2 linked regions of the Anolis sagrei genome follow. The protein of the gene in region 1 binds, or shares a complex with, the protein of each later gene. Links are inferred from orthologs where the notes say so. Each region holds a gene or a part of one and is shown in the gene's direction. Other genes may lie near its edges.

Region 1 (7,011 bases):
TGATGCATTCTGATACATACATTTGATCCATTCTACAGTTATGAAGCTGCTGAGTTCTGGAAAATAGTCAAGAGAGATTCGCAAAAAAGTTTAGGTTATTTATTTTATTTATTTATCGTGTCATCAGCAACCATACCATTGTATTACAGTTCTAACAGAACAAAACAAACACACAGATTAAAAACAAAAACAAAACAAAAACACAGATTTTGCAAACTTGGTAGTTGGTTAAATGTCCTTTGACCAGTATCTGGCCACTTGGAGTGCCTCTGGTGTTGCCGCAAGAAGGTCCTCCATTGTGCATGTGGCAGGGCTCAGGGTGCATTGCAGCAGGTGGTCAGTGGTTTGTTCTTCTCCGCACTTGCATACCGTGGATTCCACCCTGTAGCCCCATTTCTTAAGATTGGCTCTGCTTCTCGTGGTGCCAGAGCGCAGTCTGTTCAGCGCCTTCCAAGTCGCCCAGTCTTCTGTGTGCCCAGGGGGGAGTCTCTCATCTGGTATCACCCATGGATTGAGGTGCTGGGTTTGGGCCTGCCACCTTTGGACTCTCGCTTGCTGGGGTGTTGCAGCGAGTGCCTCTGTAGATCTAAGAAAACTATGTCTTGATTTAAATTGTTGACGTGCTGGCTGATACCCAAACGGGATGAGCTGGAGATGTCTCTGCCTTGGTCCTTTCACTATTGGCTGCTACTTCCCGGCGGATGTCAGGTGGTGCAATACCTTCAGATTACGTGTCTTGACCCCACACTATGTGACCTTTTCCCAATTTCATTTCATCTATGAAGCAGATCTAGGCAAGTTGCGATTACTCTCCTACCCCAATAATTTTGGTTTATGTGTAGGGAATATTGATGATAATAATAATAATAATAATAATAATAATAATAACAATAATAACTTTATTTACATTCCACTCTTATCTCCCCAAAGGGACTCAGGGCAGATTCCAAACATAAAAGGCAAATGTTCAATGCCTGAATACAATACATCCATATTAACAAAATTTAAACAACCCAACATATAAACACGAATTATAACTTAACAACTAAAATTAAATAAAAGAAAAAAAACTGCCTGTTACGACAGACATAAGACAAAACATATAGCACGTGGAAAGATTACAAACCAGTGTGTTTACGATCCGAACCCCTTTCAAAGCCACGACTTATGCCGACTCCTTGAATTTCATAGGGTTTCTTCAGGTGGTTTTGCCACTTCCTTCCTCTGAAATAGTGCATTTGTTAACAGCCTCACATCCCTTCCTTAGCTTCTAAGATCAGATGGGATCTGGAGCAGCACTTCCCAAACTTTGGTCCTCCAAATATTTTGGACTTTGTGGTCCATAATTCCTGACAGCTGGCCAAGGTAGCTGGGACTTCTGGAAGTGGAAGTCCAAAATATCTAAAGGAGTAAGATTGGGAACCAACTGCTTTCAGGTATTTAGGTTCTTAGGGTCTCTATAATAAATGTATTCAATATGCGTATGTGTTTTTAACCATATAAAATCCAGATTATCAAATTTGAACTGGATTATTTGATTTGATAATCTGGATTATATGGCAGTGTAGGCCCTGCCTAGATTCTCCAACAAACTCTTTAACACTCCTCACTTTACTCCCTTTGCTTTCATCTTGTAATTCAATCTATTTTACCAAATGTATTTTAATTCAATCTAGTTTTCCTATGTTTTAATTTATTTTAGTTAACTGTTACAGGAGTTTTAGGATAGTGGTTAGTGTCTATTTTTGGTTTTTTTTTTTGTCTTTTATTGTTGGTTTGGTCAGTGGACTAATCAATAAACAGGGTTATCTGTCTATCATAGGGGCTCCTTGAGTGACTCTATGACCTTTTGCCCATTCATTCCTCTGAGACCCCTTCTACGCTGCCATATATTCCATGATCTGATCCCAGATGATCTGATTTAAACTGGATTATGAGTCTCTACTGCCAGATAATTTGGGATAAAATAATCTGGGATCACATCCTGGGATATAGGGGCAGTGTGGAAGGGACCCGAGGCTGGATCTACACTGCCATATAAATCCAGATTATCTGTTTTGAACTGGATTATATGCGTATATACTGCCATATAATCCAGTTCAAAAAGATGATCTGTATTTTATATAGCAGTATAGAAGGGGCCTCATATAATCCAGTTCAGAGCATTTAATCTGGATTATCTGTTTTTGATAACATGGATTATATGGCAATGTAAAAGGGCCCTAAGTATTTTTGTATTTTTAAGGACTCTGCTATTTGGGGGGAATTCCCAAATTTAGGACACTTCTACATTGCCATATAATCCAGATTATATAAAAAAAGTAATCCAGACTACATTCTTTGAACTGGATTATATGAGGCCTGCTGAAAGGGCCTCATATAATGAGGCCTGCTGAAAGGGCCTCTCTTTTCACATTCTCAGAAGTCCCCTTCAGGCTTGGAATGGCGGCATTCAACCCATGAGTTGAATCTCCCTGAAAACAGCTTTATTAGCTGCCAGCAAAAGCAAATGACAGCAATTGTGCTCAAAACAAAATCTGGCTACTAGTATTAAAAACTCTAAAATCATAACAGGTGGGAACCCCAGGTTTCAGCGGTGACCAGGGGAGCATTTGCACAGCTAAAGCTTGTGCGCCAGCTGCGCCCATACCTTGGGAAGTCTGACTTGGCCACGGTAGTCCATGCTCTGGTTACATCCCGTTTAGACTACTGCAACGCTCTCTACGTGGGGTTGCCTTTGAAGACAGCTCGGAAGCTCCAACTAGTCCAACGCTCGGCAGCCATGATTTTAACAGGAGCGGAGCGCAGGGAGCATACAACCCCCCTGTTGCGCCAACTCCACTGGCTACCAATCTGCTACCGGGCTGAATTCAAAGTGCTGGCGTTGGCCTTTAAAGCCCTAAACGGTTCCGGCCCTAGCTACCTATCTGACCGCATCTCTGCCTATGAACCCACGAGGAGTTTGAGATCTTCCGGGGAGGTGGGCTCTCCGGGGAGGTGGGCTCTTCCGGGGAGGGCTCTTCCGGGGAGGTGGGCTCTCGATCCCACCTGCTTCTCAAGCTCGGCTGGCGGGGACGAGAGATAGGGCCTTCTCGGTGGTGGCTCCTTGGCTGTGGAACGCCCTTCCTACGGACATTAGACTAGCACCATCTCTAATGGTATTCCGCAAAAAGGTGAAGACCTGGATGTTTGTGCAGGCGTTTGAGTAATTTAGTGCAATCTGGTAATGGAACATAGGAATGGAACAATGGACGACGAACCTGGACTACGCTTGGATGATGAGAAGATTGGGTACGGTTGTTTTTTGTAATAATTGTGCATTGTAATTGCTTATTGGTAATTTATGGATAATGTGTTAAGTCAATTGTTATATGTTGTATGGAACCACTGCTGTTTCTACTGTTTTTACTGTTTGTGAACCGCCGTGAGTCGCCTTCGGGCTTGAGATACAGCAGTATATAAGCAAAGTAAATAAATAATAATAATAATAATAACAGTAAATGGAGAACAACTTTCAAAAACAGGAGAACTCCAGACAAGAAACCATCAGGGACAGCTAATCACCTTTCAACAAAGGATTCCCCCAGGCAGTAAGAAGCTACACCTTGAAAACTCCTGGGCTAATCAATGCTAATCAAGGTGACCAATTGAAACATTCACACCAAATTTCCAAAATGAAGAAAACCAGAGACATTGGAATGGTGGGCAGAATGTGTATCCCATATATCTGTCACTTTCACTCATACCTGACACTGAGATTGCTGGTAAATAAAAGAAAAGAAATCGCTCTGAAGTAGGAGCAGAAAGGATGCTGCCCCTTTAAGGATTGCTGGACTGCGCCCCTCGGCATCCCTCACCCTTGCATATGCGGGCGTCGTACTTCAATGACTCCTGCCTGAAGAAAACAGAGGGCGCCGCGTTTCCCGCGCTTTTTCCAAGCCCGAGAGGGGGCGGGGCTTAGAGGGGGCGGGGCTTGGCCAGGCCATGGGGCGCCCGCGGGTGTGCAGGCTGCTGCGGGGCTGCTTCGAGGAGGTGCTGCCCTTGGAGGCCTTCGTGAGGCGCCTCCAGGAGAAGGAGGCCGAAGCCTCGGGGGCCCCGCTGGTCCAGGAGGGGGATCCCAAGTGCTTCCGAGTGCTGGTGGAGCGCTGCCTGGTGGGCAGGCCCCGCGGGGGGAAGGCGCCCCCGCCTCGCTTGAGCTTCCAGCAGGTAAACAGCCCTCTCCAGGCCCGCCCCTTGCCGTGGGCGCTTCTCCTCAGCACTGCCTGGGGAGACACACAGGGACCTCTCCCGCAAAAATACTCCATAGTATGCACACTGAGGCGCTTATAACTTGCCCTGGAAGGCTGCTGGCTCCTTCAGGGGAGCACAAGCTGCCCCCAAACATTTTAATACAAGCGCGTTTTCTGAGTTGTATGGGCAGTGGGGACATCCAGCTGCCAACCCTGGATGGCGAGGCACTACGTCCATCATCATTGGTAAAGAGTCTGGGAGTCCTTTTGGACCCTCTGCTGACGATGGAGGCCCAGGTATCCACCGTTAGCAGAACTGCCTTCTTTCACCTACGGCAGGCTAGACGGCTGGCCCCTTACCTGTCCAGCGACGACCTAGCTACGGTGATCCAGGCCACGGTCATCTCAAGACTGGACTACTGTAACGCCCTCTACATTGGCCTTCCTCTGTCGGTGATCCGGAAGCTCAAGTTGGTACAAAATGCAGCTGCTCAGCTTCTTGCGGGAACTCCGATGAGATGCCACATAACACCAAACTCACAACAGCTGCATTGGTTACCAATTGAGCACCGGATCACTTTCAAAGTGATGGTACTCACCTTTAAGGCCTTGCATGGTTTGGGGCCGATGTACCTCACCCCCTACCAACCCCAGAGATCCCTCTGTTCTGAGGACCAAGATCTATTGGAAGTCCCCAGTGTCAAGACCTTGTGTCTAACAGCAACCAGAAGCAGAGCCTTCACAGCAGTGGCACCATCGCTCTGGAATACTCTGCCACCCGAAGTCCGTGCCTTGTGGGACTTATCAGTTTTCCACAGGGCATGCAAGACATACCTATTTCGACAGGCCTTTGATTTTTGATATTGCCGTTTTTAAATTGTTTTAAACTGCTTTTAAATTTTGTTAGATTTTAACTATTCTTGTAAACTGCTCCGAGGCCCAGGGGAGTGGCGGCATATAAGTTTAAATAATAAATAAATAAGCATTCTCTCCTGACATTTCGCCCAGGTATCCTCAGAGGTTGTGAGGTCTGTTGGAAACTAGGCAAGTGGGGTTTATTACAGACTAGCTTGGGGACCCTGCGTGTCCTGGGTTATTTGAGAAAGTAATTGTGTATCAAGCTTGGTCTTTATCAGTTATTTATATACAGTGGTTTCAGGAAGTTAGTGAAGGTACTGCGAGTCCCATCATCTGTGGTCCATCCTCCTCCAAACTACACCAGGATGGAGGCTCTGTGAGCCAAGTTTGGTCTTCATCAGTCACAGGATGAGGGTCGCAGTGGTTTCAGTGAGTAAAGGTACTGCAAGGCCCATCATCCATGGTCCATTCCCCCTTAGAACTGCATCAGGATGTAGAGTGGGTCATGAGTACTCTGTGTGCCAAGTTTGGGCCTGGTTTGTGATTTGTAGAAAAGACTTAAAAAGCCACAAAATAAAAATTACAATGCATGTGCAAAACATGCAAACACACATATACACAAATGTTTTAAAAAAAGGTTGTCCCCTGACATTAAGTCCAGTCATGTCTGACTCTGGGGTGTAGTGCTCATCTCCATTTCTAAGCCAAAGAACCAGCGTTGTCCATAGACACCTCCAAGGTCATGTGGCCAGCATGACCGCATGGAGCACCGTTATCTTCCCGCTGGAGCGGTACCTATTGATCTACTCACATTTGCATGTTTTCGAACTGCTAGGTTGGCAGAAGCTAGGGCTGACAGTGGAAGCTCACACCGCTCCCTGGAATCGAACCTGCGATTTTTTGGTCAACAAGCTCAGCAGCTCAGTGTTTTAACCCATTGCACCACCGGGGACATACACACAAAATACATATACACAGACTGGACCACAGTAACGCGTGGTAGGGGACGGCTAGTAACATAATAAAATTCAACAGAAAGGGCAGGTCAAATGCACGAGATAAGATGTTAAAAAGTTGAAACCCTGGGTGAGATAGGAATAAAAGTATATTTATGAGGGAGGAGTCAGGGGGGCAGTGGGGTTTGGCTTTATTAAGGACAGGTTGACAGTGCATCATGAGGACAATTGTAGATGGAAACAAACAAAATGGGTTGAACGGTCACTCTCCAAGGGCACATAGGAATAGCCAAGTTTTTAGATCTTTCTTAAAGAAGCTACTCTGTTGGAGGCTTTTAAACAGGCTGGATGGCCATCTGTCAGGGGTACTTTGATTGTACATTTCCTGCATAGCAGGAGGTTGGACTAGATGTCCCTTTGGAGAGATGGAGGTGGGGTACAAAAATAAAGTTGTTATTATTTGTGGTCTACTGGACTGCAGATCCCATCAGTCCCAACCAGCCTAGGCAAAAGCAAGGGAGGATGGGAGCTGCAGCCCGACATCATGTTGTGGGCCACACTTGCAATACATAATTTAGGACCTGTGCCCCAAAATTTTAATGCCAATCCCGCGAAATCCTAAATGACAATGAATGAAATATAGTCATAACGTTTTTGTTCACTTCCAGATTTCTAGTCAGCAAGATGTCGTTGCAAGAGTCGTTCAGCGAATCTGTGAAAAGAACAAAAGGAATGTCTTGGCCTTTGGCTATTCTCTATTGGATGAAAACCATCTCCCGTTGCCCGGCATGCCAAATGTCTACAGCTACTTTACCAATTATACCACAGAAACCATTTTTCAGAGTATTCTCTGGGAGTTGATTCTGAACAGAGTTGGGGATGATGTCTTCATGTATATATTGGAGCACTGCTCTCTCTTTATGTTAGTGCCACCTAGTTGTTGTTACCAAATCTGTGGGCAGCCCATT
Region 2 (7,867 bases), on another chromosome or scaffold:
TATTTTATACCACTTTCTTTACAGCCCAGTGGTTTTATAGAAAGAGAGGAAAATCCAAGACAATCTTAGTAGGCTTCACCTCCCTAGGGATCTTATTTTAAAATGTTGGAAGCTGCTTTGGGTCCGAATTGTGAGAGAAAAGCGGCATATAGGTAAATAATAATAATAATAATAATAATAATAATAATAATTTGAAACACAACAAGATGAGTCCACAGCAGACACTCTGCTGGCTGTTGAATTGGATCACATGTCGGACACTTCCCAAGTGTCTAGGACTGTGTGATGTATCGGCAAATAATGCGTGCAGATCCCAGTAAGGTGGCCTTCTGCAGCTGGCAGATGATAATTTTGTCAGCGCCAATTGTGTTTAAGTGCAGGCCAAGGTCTTTAGGCACTGCACCCAGTGTGCCGAACACCACTGGACCACCTTTACTGGTTTGTGCAAGAGTCTTTGCAGTTCAATTTTTAAATCCTCATATCGTGTCAGCTTTTCCAGTTGTTTTTCTGCAATCCTGCTGTTACCTGGGATTGCGACATCAATGATCCATACTTTGCTTTTTAACACGATTGTGAGGTCAGGAGTATTATGCTCCAAAACTCTGTCTGTCTGAATCCGGAAGTCCCAGAGGAGTTTGGTGTGTTCATTTTCTGTAACTTTTTTCGGCTTGTGATCCCACCAGTTCTTTGTCGCAGGCAGATGGTATTTGTGGCACAAGTTTCAATGAATCATCTGAGCAATGGTGTTGTGCCTCTGCTTGTAGCCTGTCTGTGCGATCTTCTTGCAGCAGCTCAGGATGTGATCTATTGTTTCATCTGCTTCCTTGCAGAGTCTATATTTGGGATCTGTTGTCGACTTTTCAATTCTGGCTTTGATGGCATTGGTTCTAATGGCTTGTTCTTGGGCTGCCAGAATCAGGCTCTCTGTCTCCTTTTTCAGAGTTCCATTTGTGAGCCACAGCCATGTTTTTTCTTTGTCAATTTGGCTCTCAATTTTTCCCAGGAACTGTCCATGGAGAGCCTTCTTTTGCCAGTTTTCTCTTCTGCTCTGGATTGTGTTTTTACGGTATTCCCTCTTTGTCTTTTGCACTTTAAGCAGTTTACTACTATTGACTTCCCTCAACGTTGGTTCTTGACTGCCTTTCACATAATCTGCCAGGGCGTGTTTCTACCATTTGTTTCACTTGCAGAAGCCCTCTGCCTCCTGATTTTCTGGACAAGTAAAGTCTGTCAATGTCACTATGCGGGTGTAATGCGTAGTGGATTGTCATCAGTTTTCTTGTTTTTCTGTCCAGATCATTCAACTCTGCTTCTGTCCAGTTCACAATCCCACCAGTGTATCTAATGATGGGGATGGCCCAGGTGTTGAGAGCCTTGATCGTATTTCCGCCATTTAATTTGCTCTTCAAAACCTTTCTGACTCTTTGGATATATTCTTTGCTGACCAAATTTTTCACTTGACCATGCTTGATATTGTCCAGTTGTAGTATGCCCAGATATTTATAGGCTTCAGGCTTGTTGTACTTTATGGTTTGTCCGTTTGGCATCTCTATGCCCTCGCTTTGTGTAATTTTCCCTTTCTTTAATGCCACTGTGGCACATTCATCTAGGCCAAATTCCATACTGATGTCAGTGCTGAAGATTCTGACTGTTGGTCAGTGACTCGATTTCAGTTTCTGATTTTCCATAAAGCTTTAGATCATCCATGTACAACAAGTGAGAGATTTTTGGTGAATTTCTTGCTGTTTGGTAGCCTAGGTTGTTTTTATTTATTTATTTATTTATTATAAATTTTTATTGAATTTTATATAGTTACAGCGAAAGTGGGGGAATAATATAAGATAGAAAAGTAGCAAAAAAGTAGGTTATTTTTATTTATTTATTTGTTGTTGTTATTATTATTATTATGGCAGCGCTTGTGGGATGTTAAAATTGAATGGTATCAATTACAAATATAGATGCTGGGTCAAGATTAGATCTTGAATCACTTGTTTTGGCATTTGCCTGAGAAACGTGCAGCACTAAAACAGGAGGCAGGATGTGAGTGTTTACATTAGGCTTGCTCTTAATGTCCCCAAACATCTGCATGGAAGACAGATCTTTGAGCATTAGGCACGAGGGGCCGAAGAGGGCTCTGTGACCAATTTTAGCTGAACACACCCACAAAGCCCCCACTTTCCAATTCCTACCACCCTATACATTGGAAAGTAAACAAAATTTGGCTACCAGTATTTAAAAAACTTTAAAATCAGGACAGTAAATAAAGAACAACACTCAAAAAAAGGGGGATTCCAGACAAGAAACAATCAGGGTCAGCTAATCACCTCCCAACAAAGGATTCCCCAGGCAGGAAGCAACCAAGCTTTGAAGCTGCAATGCTATTCAATGCAAATCAAGGTGATCAATTACAACATTTGCACTTGCCTCAAACAGACAAGAGTTCTTTCTCCAGCACTGGACAATCCACAGATACAGAAAACCCACTTGCCTAATTTCCAACAAACCTCTGAGAATGCCTGCCGTAGATGAGGGTGAAACGTCAGAAGACAATGCTCCTGGAACATGGCCATACAGCCTGGAAAAACTCACAGCAACCCAGAAAATCAGACAAGTTTATGTGGAATGACTCTGAAAACCAGGGTTTGAATCCTCACTTAGCTGTAGGAACCGACTGTGATTGAGGGCAAAGGTAAATCTCCTGTGAACCAACTTTGCCAAGAAAACCCTATTTTAGAGTCATTGCAGGTTGGAAACTGTCATAACTCACCTTCTGGAGTCAGATGATTGAGAACAGAGGAGCCAGATGTCCAGGCATGTGCATCTCCTGATGATAGGAGAAAGCAGGGAGCTTTGCACGAAATGGAGGATGTTGAAGATATGCCACCATCCTTTTCTTAACAAAAATGAGGTAGAGATTGTGATGATCCTGGCAGCTGTGACATAGCTGATTAATTAGGCACCTGGTGTTTTGGAGGTATTTGACCATAGAATCTACCAGCAGCCCTCCCCCATTTTTGTTCTTCACAGCTATCTTATCTATGTGATTGATAATACTCTCCTGGCATTTGTGTTTTCTTAACCTTAAACTGGCTATATTTTTGACAACTCTGTTTACTGCTTGTTGGCCCAGGAGATGCCTTGATGTTTTGATGTGTTACCATCCTTGTAGGAGGCTTGTCTCATGTCCTCATGTGAGAAGCTGCAGCTAACAGATGGGAGCTCACCCCGCTCCCTGGATGCGAACTTTTGGTCAGCATTCCTGCCGGCACAAGAGTTTAACCCATTGAGCCACCGGGAGGCATCATGACCATCAACCATGTGTTTGACTAGTCTTACATTATTGAGTGACACAGATTTGGAAGCCCTCCAGATGTTTTGGATTTCAACATATCCTTGGAAGCATCCATGCGGATCCCATTTCAAACTACGTCTCTACGTCTGTCTCGGCATGGGCAAACTTTGGCCTTCCTCCAGGTGTTTTGGACTTCAACTCCCACAATTCCTAACCGCCTAAAGTTTGCCCATGCTTGATCTAGACCAGTGGTTCTCAACCTTCCTATTGCCGAAACCCCTTAATGCTGGGGTCACCTCATGTTGTGGTGACCCCAACCGTAAAACTATTGCTACTTCATAACTGTCATTTTGCTACTGTCAGGAATCATAATGTAAATATCTGATATGCAGGATGTATTCTCATTCACTGGACCAAATTGGGCACAAATACTCAATATGCCCAAATTTGAATACTGGGGGGGGGGGGGGGGGGTTGATTTTGTCATTTGTGAGCTGTAGTTGCTGGGATTTATAGTTCACCTATAAACAAAGAGCATTCTGAACTCCACCAACAATGGAATTGAACCACACTTGGCACACAGAATTACCATGACCAACAGAAAATATTGGAAAGGTTTGATGGGCATTGACCTTGAGTTTTGGAGTTGTAGTTCACCTACATCCAGAGAGAACTGTGGACTCACACAACGACGGATCTGGACCAAACTTGGCATGAATATTCAATATGCCCAAATGGGAACACTGGTGGAGTTTGGAGAAAAATAGACCTTGTCATTTGGGAGTTGTAGTTGCTAGGATTTATAGTTCACCTACAATTCAAGAGCATTCTAAACCTCACCAATGACAGAATTCTCACCCAGAATCCCCATGACCAACTGAAAATACTGTGTTTCCTGATGGTTTTTGGCAACCCCTTTAACACCCTCTCGTGACCTGGCAGGGGTCCCGACCCCCAGGTTGAGAAACACTGATCCAGACATTATAGTGCTATATAATTTTTTTTCTGAAATCCAAAAAAGGCAGCAATTTTAACCTTATTTCTACCTAAGCTTTATTTGCTTTTACTTGCATTACACAGTAATAATTAATCTAATCAATGGCATTGACTAAAATGGCATTGGCTTTTTATGCTGCTGCATCACACTCTTGGCTCGTCTTGTTGGATAATCTGAAACATGCCTGGACTGAATTAAATACTTTGCAACTCTTGCATTCTAACGTTCTGATGCTAAATGAAGCAATATTTGTAGTTATTAATGCTTTTGAGGACTTGCCTTTAAAAAGTGGGCTTACTGTTTAGTGTCAGCAACTCATTTCTGATTTGTTGCAACCCTAGCTGGGTTTTTGTTTTGTTTGTTTTTAAGGCAACATTGACTTAAAAACTTCTCAGTCTGCCAAACTTTGGGAATATAATCCTGGCTGAAAGTGGAACGAGAGCCGGAAGTGACAGTCGCTCTCAAAAGACCTTACCTCTTTGATCATTCTAGCCAATAGATTCGCAAAGGGAGAGAGGACTCGCCGACAAGCGGAAGGAGCGTGTCGAGAACCCAGCTTGGGATTGGCCGGGCAGCGGGAAAGCGACGCTGTTCGTTGACGTCATCAGAAGCGGCCGGTGCGTGTGTGTTGGGGACCACGTGGGAAGCCAAAGGGGATCTTTGTGCTCAAGGTACCAGAAAAGGGTATTTTTTTGGGGGGGGGGGTGGGGGGGTGGTGTCATATATTCATTGATTTCTACGGAATTTTGCCATTCCTTACTTTAAACTATTTAGCTGGATCCAGTCTAGAGGTGCGTCCACATTGTTGAATTAATGTGGTTTGACACCACTTCAACTTCCATGGCCCAATGCTGTGGAATGCTGGAGTTTGCAGTTTAGGCCTCTTCCACACAGATGTGCAAAATCCCAGATTATCTGCTTTGAACTGGAATATATGGCAGTGTGGACTCAGATAACCCAGGGCCCTTCCACACAGCCCTATATCCCAGAATATTGGGGCAGAAAATCATAGAATCAAAGAGTTGGAAGAGACCTCATGGGCCATCCAGTCCAACCCCATTCTGCCAACAAGCAGGAACGTTGCATTCAAATCACCCCTGACAGATGGCCATCCAGCCTCTGCTTAAAAGCTTCCAAAGAAGGAGCCTCCACCACACTCCGGGGCAGAGAGTTCCACTGCTGAACGGCTCTCACAGTCAGGAAGTTCTTCCTCATGTTCAGATGGAATCTCCTCGCTTGTAGTTTAAATCCCATATTATCTGAGTGTGGATTCGGATAACCCAGTTCAAAGCAGATATTGTGGGGGTTTTCTGCCTTGCTATTCTGGGATATAGGGCTGTGTGGAAGGGCCCCCAGTCAAAGCAGATATTGTGGGATTTTCTGCCATTATATTCTTTATTATAGGACTGTGTGGGAGGGCTGCTCTCTTTGACAGAGAAGGCTATTGCTGTTGTTCATTCGTTTCTGGCTCTTCGTGACCTCATGAACCAGTCCATGCCAGAGCTCCCTGTCGGCCGTCACCACCCCCAGCTCCTTCAAAGTCAATCCAGTCACTTCAAGGATCCCATCCATCCAACTTGTCCTTGGTCAGCCCTCTTCCTTTTTCCTTCCTTTTCCCCCAGCATAATTGTCTTCGCTAAGCTTTCCTTTCTTCTCATGATGTGGCCAAAGTACTTCATCATGGCCTCTAAGGCTAAGGACCTTGTAAAACTACAACTCCCATGATTCCACAGCATTGAGCCACGGGAATTAAAGGGCCCTTCCACACAGTCATATAACCCAGAATATCGTGGCTGAAAATCCCACACTATCTGCTTTGAACTGGGTTATTTGAGTCCACACTGACATATATTCCAGTTCAAAGAAGAAAATGTGGGATTTTACTCAGCTGTGTAGAAAGGGCCAAAGTGGTGCCAAACAGAATTAATACCACTCTGTAGACCAGGAGTTCTCAAACTTTTTAAACAGAGGGCCAGATTATAATTTGGAAAAAAGATGAATGAATTCCTATGCACACTGCACATATCTTATTTGTAGTGCAAAAAACACAAGCAATAAATACAATAATTAAAATGATGAACAATTTTAACGAAATATAAACTTATTAGTATTTCAATGGGAAGGTGTTTTTTTTTTTTGTTGTGTCAGGAGCGACTTGAGAAACTGCAAGTCGCTTCTGGTGTGAGAGAATTGGCCGTCTGCAAGGACGTTGCCCAGGGGATGCTCGAATGATTTGATGCTTTTATCATCCTTGTGGGAGGCTTCTCTCATGTCCCCGCATGAGGAGCTGGAGCTGGTAGGGGGAACTCATCTGCCTCTCCCTGGGTTCGAACCTGCGACCTGTCAGTCTTTAGTCCTGCCGGCACAGGGGTTTAACCCACAGCATCACCGGGGGCTCCTTCAATGGGAAGTGTGGGCCTGCTTTTCACTGATGAGATTGGGTTGTTGTTGTTGTTGTGTGTTTTCAAGTTGTTTAAGACTTAGGTTGACCCTGAGAGAGGGCCGGGTAAAGGACCTTGAAGAGCTGTATCTGCCCCCCGAGCCTTAGTTTGAGGACCCCTGGTATAGACACACATTTCAACCCAAGAGATCAGGGTTTGAGTCCCAGCTCAGCCCTGGAAACCCATTGGGAGGACTTGGGCAAGACATGCTCTCTAAGGCTGGATCTACACTACCATATGATGCAGTTTGAAATGGTCAGTGTACTGTAAACACATATAATGTATTTTAACTGCATTGAGCTGCATCTACACCAGGTCTGGGCCAACCTTGGCCCTCTAGGTGTTTTGGATTCCAAATCCCACAGTTCCTAACAGCTAATAGGCTGTTAGGAATTGTATGAGTTGAAGTCCAAAACACCTGGATGGCCAAAGTTTGTTTATGCCTGGTGTACTCTATTTGTCTACCCCTACATGACTGAAGGCACACAACAAAAACAACATTTGTCTGTGTTTATATATACATACACATATATGGAGTTTATTTCCAAAAGGTACCAAATCCACCTGAACACATGCTGAGGATGTTCATTCTTTTGCTATAAAATGCAATTTCTCGAACCCTGCACTGAGGTGATTTTGTTGTTTTGATATGTACACAATATTCCAAGCATAGCCAACAATGGGTTCAGTACCTTTTGGAAACAATGTCCACATATATATGCAAACACAGGTCATCCCAAAGAGTATACCCCCTTTAACAACTAATAATAGCCATGGTGATGATGTGAAGGCTAAGTAAATACATTCATCTCAAAGAATGAATGTTGTTACAATGATTTAATCAGAATAAAAATTCCCACTTGGCCATAGAAACCCATAGAGGAAGGCAAAGGCAAAATCTCTCTAAACAAATATTGCCCATTGTGATAGATGGATAGATAGATCAGGCTTGCCGCAATTCAGAAACGAAGTGAAAGCACTCCTCTTTCTAACGTTTTGGTATTTCAATACAACAAATTCCATTGTACACCCAATCTTGATACCTAGCAAAAGCTGGATCCGCACTGCCATATCTACATATCTATGTTTTAATTTAATTCCAAGCTGCTGGGAATACTGGAGTGCTACCTATTTGTT

What was found.
Region 2: TERT (region 1) and GAR1 share a complex: the UniProt entries of both Homo sapiens proteins name them as parts of the telomerase holoenzyme complex. The link is inferred for Anolis sagrei from reciprocal best matches to the Homo sapiens genes TERT and GAR1.

What each region holds. Positions count from the first base shown.
Region 1 is NC_090024.1:105,810,220-105,817,230, reverse strand, and holds the start of TERT (telomerase reverse transcriptase), read left to right. Parts: upstream 1-3,983; 5' UTR 3,984-3,984; coding exon 3,985-4,206; intron 4,207-6,711; coding exon 6,712-7,011. UniProt on the Homo sapiens protein: Telomerase is a ribonucleoprotein enzyme essential for the replication of chromosome termini in most eukaryotes. Active in progenitor and cancer cells. Inactive, or very low activity, in normal somatic cells.
Region 2 is NC_090025.1:31,125,936-31,133,802, forward strand, and holds the start of GAR1 (H/ACA ribonucleoprotein complex subunit 1), read left to right. Parts: upstream 1-4,851; 5' UTR 4,852-4,906; exon of another isoform or gene 4,907-4,960; intron 4,961-7,867. UniProt on the Homo sapiens protein: Required for ribosome biogenesis and telomere maintenance. Part of the H/ACA small nucleolar ribonucleoprotein (H/ACA snoRNP) complex, which catalyzes pseudouridylation of rRNA.